Linked DNA regions of Macaca mulatta. The protein of the gene in region 1 interacts with the protein of each later gene in a biochemical or structural test. Links are inferred from orthologs where the notes say so. Each region holds a gene or a part of one and is shown in the gene's direction. Other genes may lie near its edges.

Region 1 (3,971 bases):
ATCGTCATTGGCCTGGAGAAGGATTCTGGCGCCCAGCGGGGCCGAGTCATCGCCGTCTTAAAAGCCCGAGAGCTGACTCCACATGGGTAAGACTGAGTGGCAGCTCCTTTAGGACCCAGGCAGCAGCATGAGCACAGAAGGCCCCATAGCCAGGTCTTGCACAGTGGCTTTGCTGCCCCTCCATTCTCCCAAATAGTGTATCCACCAACTTGGCTATAAGGCAAAGTGGAAACAAGATGGGGCCCCGCAGACAGCTCCAAGGGGCTCCACACTGGCCATGGCTCCCTGTTTCTGGAGTACCCAGTGCACCTGTAGATCAAGTACCCTACCTAACGAATGCCTCCAGGGCCAGAATTCAGCTGCAGTTGACATGCAGATGCATCCAGGTGATTGATTCACTGTTCTTCCTGCCAAGCAGGAAACCCTACCCGAGGTGTCCACCTGCCCACACAGCACCCTATGGGGACACATGACATAGGCACACCTTGTCATCTCCAAGCCTGGGGTCTCAGCTCCTGCCCTTCCTGGGCTGAGGCATGGTTCAGTAACTGTCTGTGGGTGAGTCCCCCCAGGATTATGCCAGTCTCCTCTGCGAGGGTATGCTGGGCAGGGTGGCCTATCCCGAACATGGTCTACATGGCTGGAGTGATATGAGGCTGGTACCAGCTGCAGCTCCCCACAGTGTTTACACCCCTCACTTTGACTACCGAGCCCCACATGGTAAATCTCCCTTATGAAAAGTCCTCAATTCAAATTGTGTGTGTGTGTGTGTGTGTGTGTGTGTGTGTGTGTGTGTACTTTGGAGCTCTTCCACTTCACACTAGGCCTGTTTTCCTGTAGCGTGAGTTATCCCCCATCCCTGGGCAAGTGGGTTTTTATTTCATAAGAGGGTGGAGAAACCCCACTCAGCTTGTTTCTCCCAGAGCAGGACAATGACCAAGGAGGCATCCATGGCAGTCTCACTCCCTTGCCTGCCAGCTTTGAACTTTGGCAGTGAATCCCGGGCCAGTGAGCCTTGCTCTGTTAGTGGTTCTGGAAGCAAGATCTGGATCTGCTCCCGAGCTCTGCCAGAGTCTGTGGCTGGAAGCCTTGAACTGACGGAGTTCCCAGCTTGCAGGTTGGCCTTCTGGAGGAAATGGGTGTGCAGCACCCAGGTTGGGACCTTGGCATACCTGCCGTTAGTGTCCTAATGTTTAGTTGTTGTTGTTTTTCCTATCCATCCCCTAAAGCCAGATTTTACCTCTTTCTCGCTATAGGGAGAAAGAGGCCCCAGCGGTCAGCCTAAGGGGAGGCCCTGGCAAGGCCATGCGGAGTCAGAGGTCCCTGGACATCCCAGTTTGCAGGAGCACCTCAGTGCCACGCAGGCTGCACACACGGGGCACAGAGGGAGGAAAGGAAGGCAGTTAGTATGTGCTCGGGGTGGGGCAGCAGCAGGGCAGGGAGGCTGCACTGCGGCCCAAAAGGAAACTTGTAGCGCACCCACCAATCCTGCAGAACTGTCCACAGTTTCAAAAAATGTATATAGTGATGACTTTGGGGCAGTAGGTTTTCCATTTAATATATGAGCCTGTATTTCCTAAGCATGTAGAAACAGAATGAGAGAAGAATCCTATTGAGCTTAGTGGCAAGGGAGTTGAGTTAAACTCGGTCATGAGCCATTCACAAGCAGAAATTTGGTTCATTGGTGTTTTCTGGACGCTTTGAAGTTAAGTCACGGATGCCTGATCTGATTGCTTCTGTGGCTTTCCAGGGAGTCGGACTCTTACAGACAAAGCCCATGGAAGTGAACTCATGCCCACAGCCCATGTTTGGACTTTATAAAGCCTAAGCCCGCAGGCTGGGCCACCGGGGAGAAGTGGTGCATCTGAGCACACCCCAGAGAGGGCTGGCAAGCAGACATACTCCCCTCCCCTTAGCCAGCTCTGCCTTCCTCAGAAGGCCCAGGGTGAGGGTCCCAACCCCACCCAAGTGGGGACCCTGTGAGTTTCCTCAGACCCCTTCTCTCTGCAGGGTGTTGGTGGATGCTGCTGTGGTGGCAAAGGACACTGTTGTGTGCAGCTTTGAAAACGAAAACACAGAGTGGTGCCTGGCTGTCTGGAGGGGCTGGGGCGCCAGGGAGTTTGACATTTTCTACCAGTCCTACGAGGAGCTGGGCCGGCTGGAGGCTTGCACACGCAAGAGAAGGTAATTCCTGTGGAATGACAGTCACACATGCAAAGCTGGCTGGTCCCAGGTTGCAGCCTGACCCCTCTGCCATCAGCCTCTAGTTCTCCAAGGACCTAGAAGACAGATGGAGCTCTCCCCTGAACTCCTTGACTCCTTGCTGCTAAGAAGTGCTGAGAAGTTACCCGCCTAGGGGTGGCTCCAGGGTTCTCTGGTTCTCCGGAGCAGAGTTATCTGAATACCCCATCCCCCAACTGCTGATTTCACAGGCCCAGGGAAGACAGTGGTATCAGGCCGGGCAGGGCCTCCGCTGGCCTCCTCCATCAGTTTCCAGGAGCAGGGGTGGAGGATCCCGTTCTGAGCTGGGTCAAACAAAGTAGAGCCGGGCCTTCCTGCCATCCCCGGGTCTCAGATGGAATTACACTAGAGGCCCTGGGTTGGGAAGCAGTTGAGGTAGAGCAGGAGGGGGGCTGTAACCCCTGCCCTTTCCCCACCGGAGACCTCAGGCTCTCAGCACATTCCACAGGCTCCTGAGTCCCTGAGGCCTCGGCCAGCTTGGGCAAGCCAAGATCAGATGTCTCTGAGTTCGGGAAGGTCTCCGTGTGGGAAAGCCCTCGGAGGACGCTGGGTGAGGAGCGTTGCCCCATCCGGAGAATGAATGAGTTCCTTTAAGTGTCGCAGCCAGAAAGCCCAGAGGCGCATAGTGCAAGTGCACCAGCTTAGCCTTTACATTCCTCTCCACCGACAAAAGGAAGGGGAAACTCAATCAGCAGGACTTCAGAAAGGGCCTTGTGTTTATAGCTTTGTCAAGTAAATTTGGACGCAGCTGGAGCACAAGCCCTGTTTGTTTGCACATAAAAATCTTGTTTATCACTTTTAAAAATTCAGTAATATCTCAGTGGTCAGGCTTCTGGTTGTGAAATCACATTGTATGGGATTTATACCAAATTATGTATTTGCTAAACTTTCGCTCCACACGTGTACAGCAGAGTACAAAAAGGAAAATTGTCCATAGGGGGCTTATGGATACAACAGCAAACATTGTATAAATTATGCACATGTATGTATTACACACATGCACACATATAGGCACACACATGTGCAAACATAGCCACATTTTTGTCAAGGGTTACCCTTTGTGGCTCCTTAAACCAGAATGGGAGTTTGAAAGAGAGATCATACTCCAGCTGAAGTTTGTTGACCCTTTTCTAAAATTAAAAAGATCAAATTTAGTATTTGCGGGATATGCAGGGGGATGAGACTCTTTTAATCTCAAAATAAACAGATTCTTTCAAGAATGAAGCTGTGGCCTCTGTCTTTCGAGTGCTTATGACCACAGCACAGACTCAGTCCCTCCCAGACCCACTGGCTATCTGGGGGTAACGGGCAGCCCCTCCTTGCCCACTGTACCAACATGCAGGTGGCCCCTGAGCAGCTTCCAAGGGTGGAGACACTGCTCTGTCAGTCACAGGTTGGAAAAAGCGAGTTCCCCTACTTTTTTTTGTGTGCCAGCCTGGGCACCAAGTCCCAGGGGGTTGAGGGTCTGTGCTTCCTGTCCACCTTCCTGCCATTCTCTCACCCTCATCCCACAGCAGGGCCTCAGGAGTCCCACTCTCCCTCTCCTTTCATTCCAGTGCACCACAGCTGCCCAGTTAACCTCCAGATACAAACCAGAGTCTGTCTGCCCCAGGTCCCAAGCTTTTGCTTTGGCATCACCTGAGGCCAGGCTGCTTTGCAGGCATCAGGCACCAAACTCACCCTTTCCTACTCCTGGAAAAGCCCAGCCCCAGGCCTCACAGAGCCAGGGG
Region 2 (3,645 bases), on another chromosome or scaffold:
AATTAAAAGGGGAACCACCTCCTGATTCTGATGCAGTGATATTTACTCTAGTGCACACCACCTAAAAACCTCAGGTACCAATACTTGTACATGTCTCATTTTTGGACAAACACTGACTTCACCGAGCACTTCCTTCACTAGAAACAGAAGTGGACCCAGAGGTGATGGCCTTGCCTGAGGTCACACAGGGAAGGAGTAGCTGACCTTAGGTTAGAACTTGAGTCCTAGGCCAGTATACTTTTCACAGTTATGGCAATTGTGGCTATCTACAGACCTGTCCTCTGGGTCTAGTTTGGAAAATTCTGACCGGGGATGTGGAGGCCAGGTGTCCAAAGTGGAACAAGCTCCGTGCTGTTCCTAAAGGAGACCCAAGAGATTGGCCTGGGTTTCAGCTCTTGTCTGGTTTTCCAGCGGGGGCTGTCAGAAGAACTAACTGCTCTATGGGAAGGGAGTACAAAAAAAGGGGCAGCAGCCCCGGGCACTGAAGCTCATCTCTGTCTTTCTCTCTTCTTGCTGCCTTGGGCCTGGGTCATTTCAGACAAACCTCAGGTAAGATGGGACTGGGCTTCCCCGCCACTGTGGCAGCAGCTCCCGCCCTCCTGGGTGCTATCCCAGGGGTGAAAGGAAGAGGTGGGGAGGCACAGCTGGGAGTGTGGGGGATGGGGAGGGATGGGGAGGGAACGGGCCCATGGACAACTTGCATTTGCCCTGACACCCACCCTCCCTGCAGCTCTACACCCTCGCCGTGATAGGCCCAGGGCCGCCAGATTGCCAGCCAGCCCAGATCTCTCGCCGTTACTCGGACTTTGAGCGGCTGCACCGAAACCTGCAGCGGCAATTCCGGGGCCCAATGGCTGCCATCTCCTTCCCCCGTAAGCGGCTGCGCCGGAATTTTACTGCAGAGACCATTGCCCGCCGTAGCCGGGCCTTTGAGCAGTTTTTGGGTCACCTGCAGGCAGTGCCTGAGCTGCGCCATGCCCCAGACCTGCAGGACTTCTTCGTGCTGCCAGAGCTGCGGCGGGCACAGAGCCTCACCTGTACTGGCCTCTATCGTGAGGCTCTGGCACTCTGGGCCACTGCCTGGCAGCTGCAAGCCCAGCTGGGCACCCCCTCTGGCCCAGACCGCCCCCTGCTGACCCTGGCTGGGCTGGCCGTGTGCCACCAGGAGCTGGAAGACCCTGGGGAGGCCCGGGCATGCTGTGAGAAGGCCCTGCAGCTGCTTGGGGACAAGAGCCTCCACCCTTTGCTGGCACCCTTTCTGGAGGCCCATGTTCGACTCTCCTGGCGCCTGGGCCTGGACAAACGTCAATCAGAGGCTCGGCTCCAAGCCCTGCAGGAGGCAGGCCTTACCCCCACGCCACCCCCTAGTCTCAAAGAACTGCTCATCAAGGAGGTGCTGGACTAACCCTTGCCTAGGTTTAAGGCCACTGTGAGGAGAGAGGCTGCCCCAGAATGCAGGGGAAGGACCCAATGAGGACAGAATAGCTGGGAGCACCTAGAAGTTCCAAAAGAGAATGTGAAGCAGATCAAGGAAACTTCTGTTGAGCTGGGCTCAGGATGAGCTTTGGCTGAGGTTGCCCTGGTATAGTACAGGGAAGAAGTCTGACACAGCCTCTCCAGCTTATAAACAGCCAAGGGGCTGTGGCACAGGTCAGGGGCAATGTTCCCTTGTTGGTGGGCCCCCAAGCTGGCGAGGCCTCCTCTGAAGGCCAGGGACTCTGCCCTGGAGTCCTGGAGTTGAGGGATGAAGGCAAGGTCTGGCCCAGGGGAATTAAAGGCCAGCCACTCCAGTGGTATCAGTCTCTTTATTGGATGTGAGGGCCAAAAGGGACTGTAACTGCTGTCTCAGGAATGGGGATAGATGGGAGGTTCTTGAAGCCCCAGGCCAAGCTGGTACCTCTGGCTACAGCTTGCTCTCTGAGACCTGGGGCTTCACACGGATCACGCCCTCCTGGGCACAGGTCACAGCTAGGACTCCATCCTGACGCCACAGCCGCCCATGGACCAGCCCCCGAGAGCCACCTGTGGGTGAGGTGAAAGGTGAGGATGGCCTGCTTCAGAACAGCCAAATGCACTTCTTTTTTTCTGAAACAGAGTCTATGTTGCCCAGGCTGGTCTCAAGCTCCTGGGTTCAAGGGATCCTCCCACCTCAGCCTCCTGAGCAGCTGGGATTACAGGCTTAGCACAGCACCACGCCCGACCTCCAAGTGGACTTCTTGAAAAGGGTCTGGCCCAGGGCAGGGCTGCCCCACACAAGGGTGTGCTGAGTGTCATGGCTGCTCCAAATGCCCCTTCTTGATCTTATTATGGACCATCATTGAGGGGTAACTCCTCCCACAGGAACCCCACTTGATAGTTTAAAAGCACTTTCACACCTCTGCTCGCTTCCTCAAAAAGATCACGGAGGGAGGAGCTCTCAGAACAGTCTCCTTCAACTGCTTGGCCAAGCAGAACTGCTATCCCTCTGGCCACTCGTGTTAGGAAACCTATTGGCTCCCTGTATAATAAATCAAGCCAGATCCTCCAAGTGGTGATTCCTGAAAAATATCCCCACTACCACCACCAAGGGGAAGAAGGGGCTCAGCAGAGGAATTAAAGCCACGAGGTCTGGCCTCTTCCCTCCCCACCTGGAGATTCTTGCTCCCTTGCTGGCTTTGGGCCTGAGTCTGATGTTTATGAGGATGATGGCTGGTTTCCCTTACACATAGCAGAGCTCACTCAGTTCTCACAGTAGCCAAAGGAAGCAGTTATGTGTTGTGCAGTTTTCCAGACCAGGACTGAAATCCAGAGAGGGTCAGGAATTTGGTTCCATCATGAGGCCAAATCTGAACCCACATCCTCACTTCAAGGTTATCAATCTTGGATTGGGATGCTATTGGTACGTGAGAGTACCCCTTATCTGAGTATAACGAGTCCTTAAGTTTTTCCCTTGGTTTATCGAGCAAAGCCTTTCTTCATTTGAAATGTACTCCCTTGGAAAGGAGGTCAGGGTTCTGAAGCTAGACATTGATGAATGAGTCTTGTTTCTCTATCTCCCCTGCAAGGAATGTCCAAGCCGTGAGGCCCTTAGGGACCACTGAATGCTCCAACCCCAATCAGGTTAATCAGAGTCACTTAGAGAACTTAAACATACAGTTTCCTGGACCTTATCCAAGACCTACTGAGTCAGAATCTTGAGGGTGGAATCAGAATCTATTTTGAAAAGGCGTCCCCAAATGGCAGTCTGATGGGCTGCCGGGTTTGGATACCATTGCTGTAATGTAACCCTCTTTGTTTAGATGAGGAAACAGGCTCAGACGGAAGACACGATTTGCCTATTGTAATAAAAAGAATCTGAACTGGTTCTGGGACTAGAACTGGGTCCCTGGGAGAAGGTGAATCACATTCCCAGCACATTCTAGCAATTTAGAGCAGAGCAGGTGTCCCAGCCTCACCCTCTCATTTTGAAGATGAAGATGCGAAAGCCTAGGAGGGAAGGAAAGGAAGTGACCTGTGCAGTGCCACACAGGAAGTCAGGGGAAGTCAGCATCTGCCACCCAAGGTCAGTGCCCTTGTCCCACACGGCCCCACACTCACCAGCCCAGGGGCTCTCGCACTCATAGAGCATCCAGTGGTCAGCTCGGAAGGGGGTGTGGAACCACATGG

What was found. The genes of interacting proteins can lie anywhere in the genome.
Region 2: the proteins of LRRK1 (region 1) and SNX21 form a complex in vitro, tested with the Homo sapiens proteins (2 studies listed by BioGRID and IntAct, with this or other methods). The link is inferred for Macaca mulatta from reciprocal best matches to the Homo sapiens genes LRRK1 and SNX21.

What each region holds. Positions count from the first base shown.
Region 1 is NC_133412.1:91,436,670-91,440,640, forward strand, and holds the end of LRRK1 (leucine-rich repeat serine/threonine-protein kinase 1), read left to right. Parts: coding exon 1-86; intron 87-2,010; coding exon 2,011-2,188; 3' UTR 2,189-3,461; downstream 3,462-3,971.
Region 2 is NC_133415.1:98,631,707-98,635,351, forward strand, and holds the end of SNX21 (sorting nexin-21), read left to right. Parts: intron 1-172; exon of another isoform or gene 173-312; coding exon of another isoform or gene 313-549; intron 550-730; coding exon 731-1,405; 3' UTR 1,406-1,903; coding exon of another isoform or gene 1,904-2,022; 3' UTR 2,023-3,343; downstream 3,344-3,645. Other genes in the region: ACOT8 (acyl-coenzyme A thioesterase 8), read right to left, coding at 1,904-2,022, 3,577-3,645. UniProt on the Homo sapiens protein: Binds to membranes enriched in phosphatidylinositol 3-phosphate (PtdIns(P3)) and phosphatidylinositol 4,5-bisphosphate. May be involved in several stages of intracellular trafficking.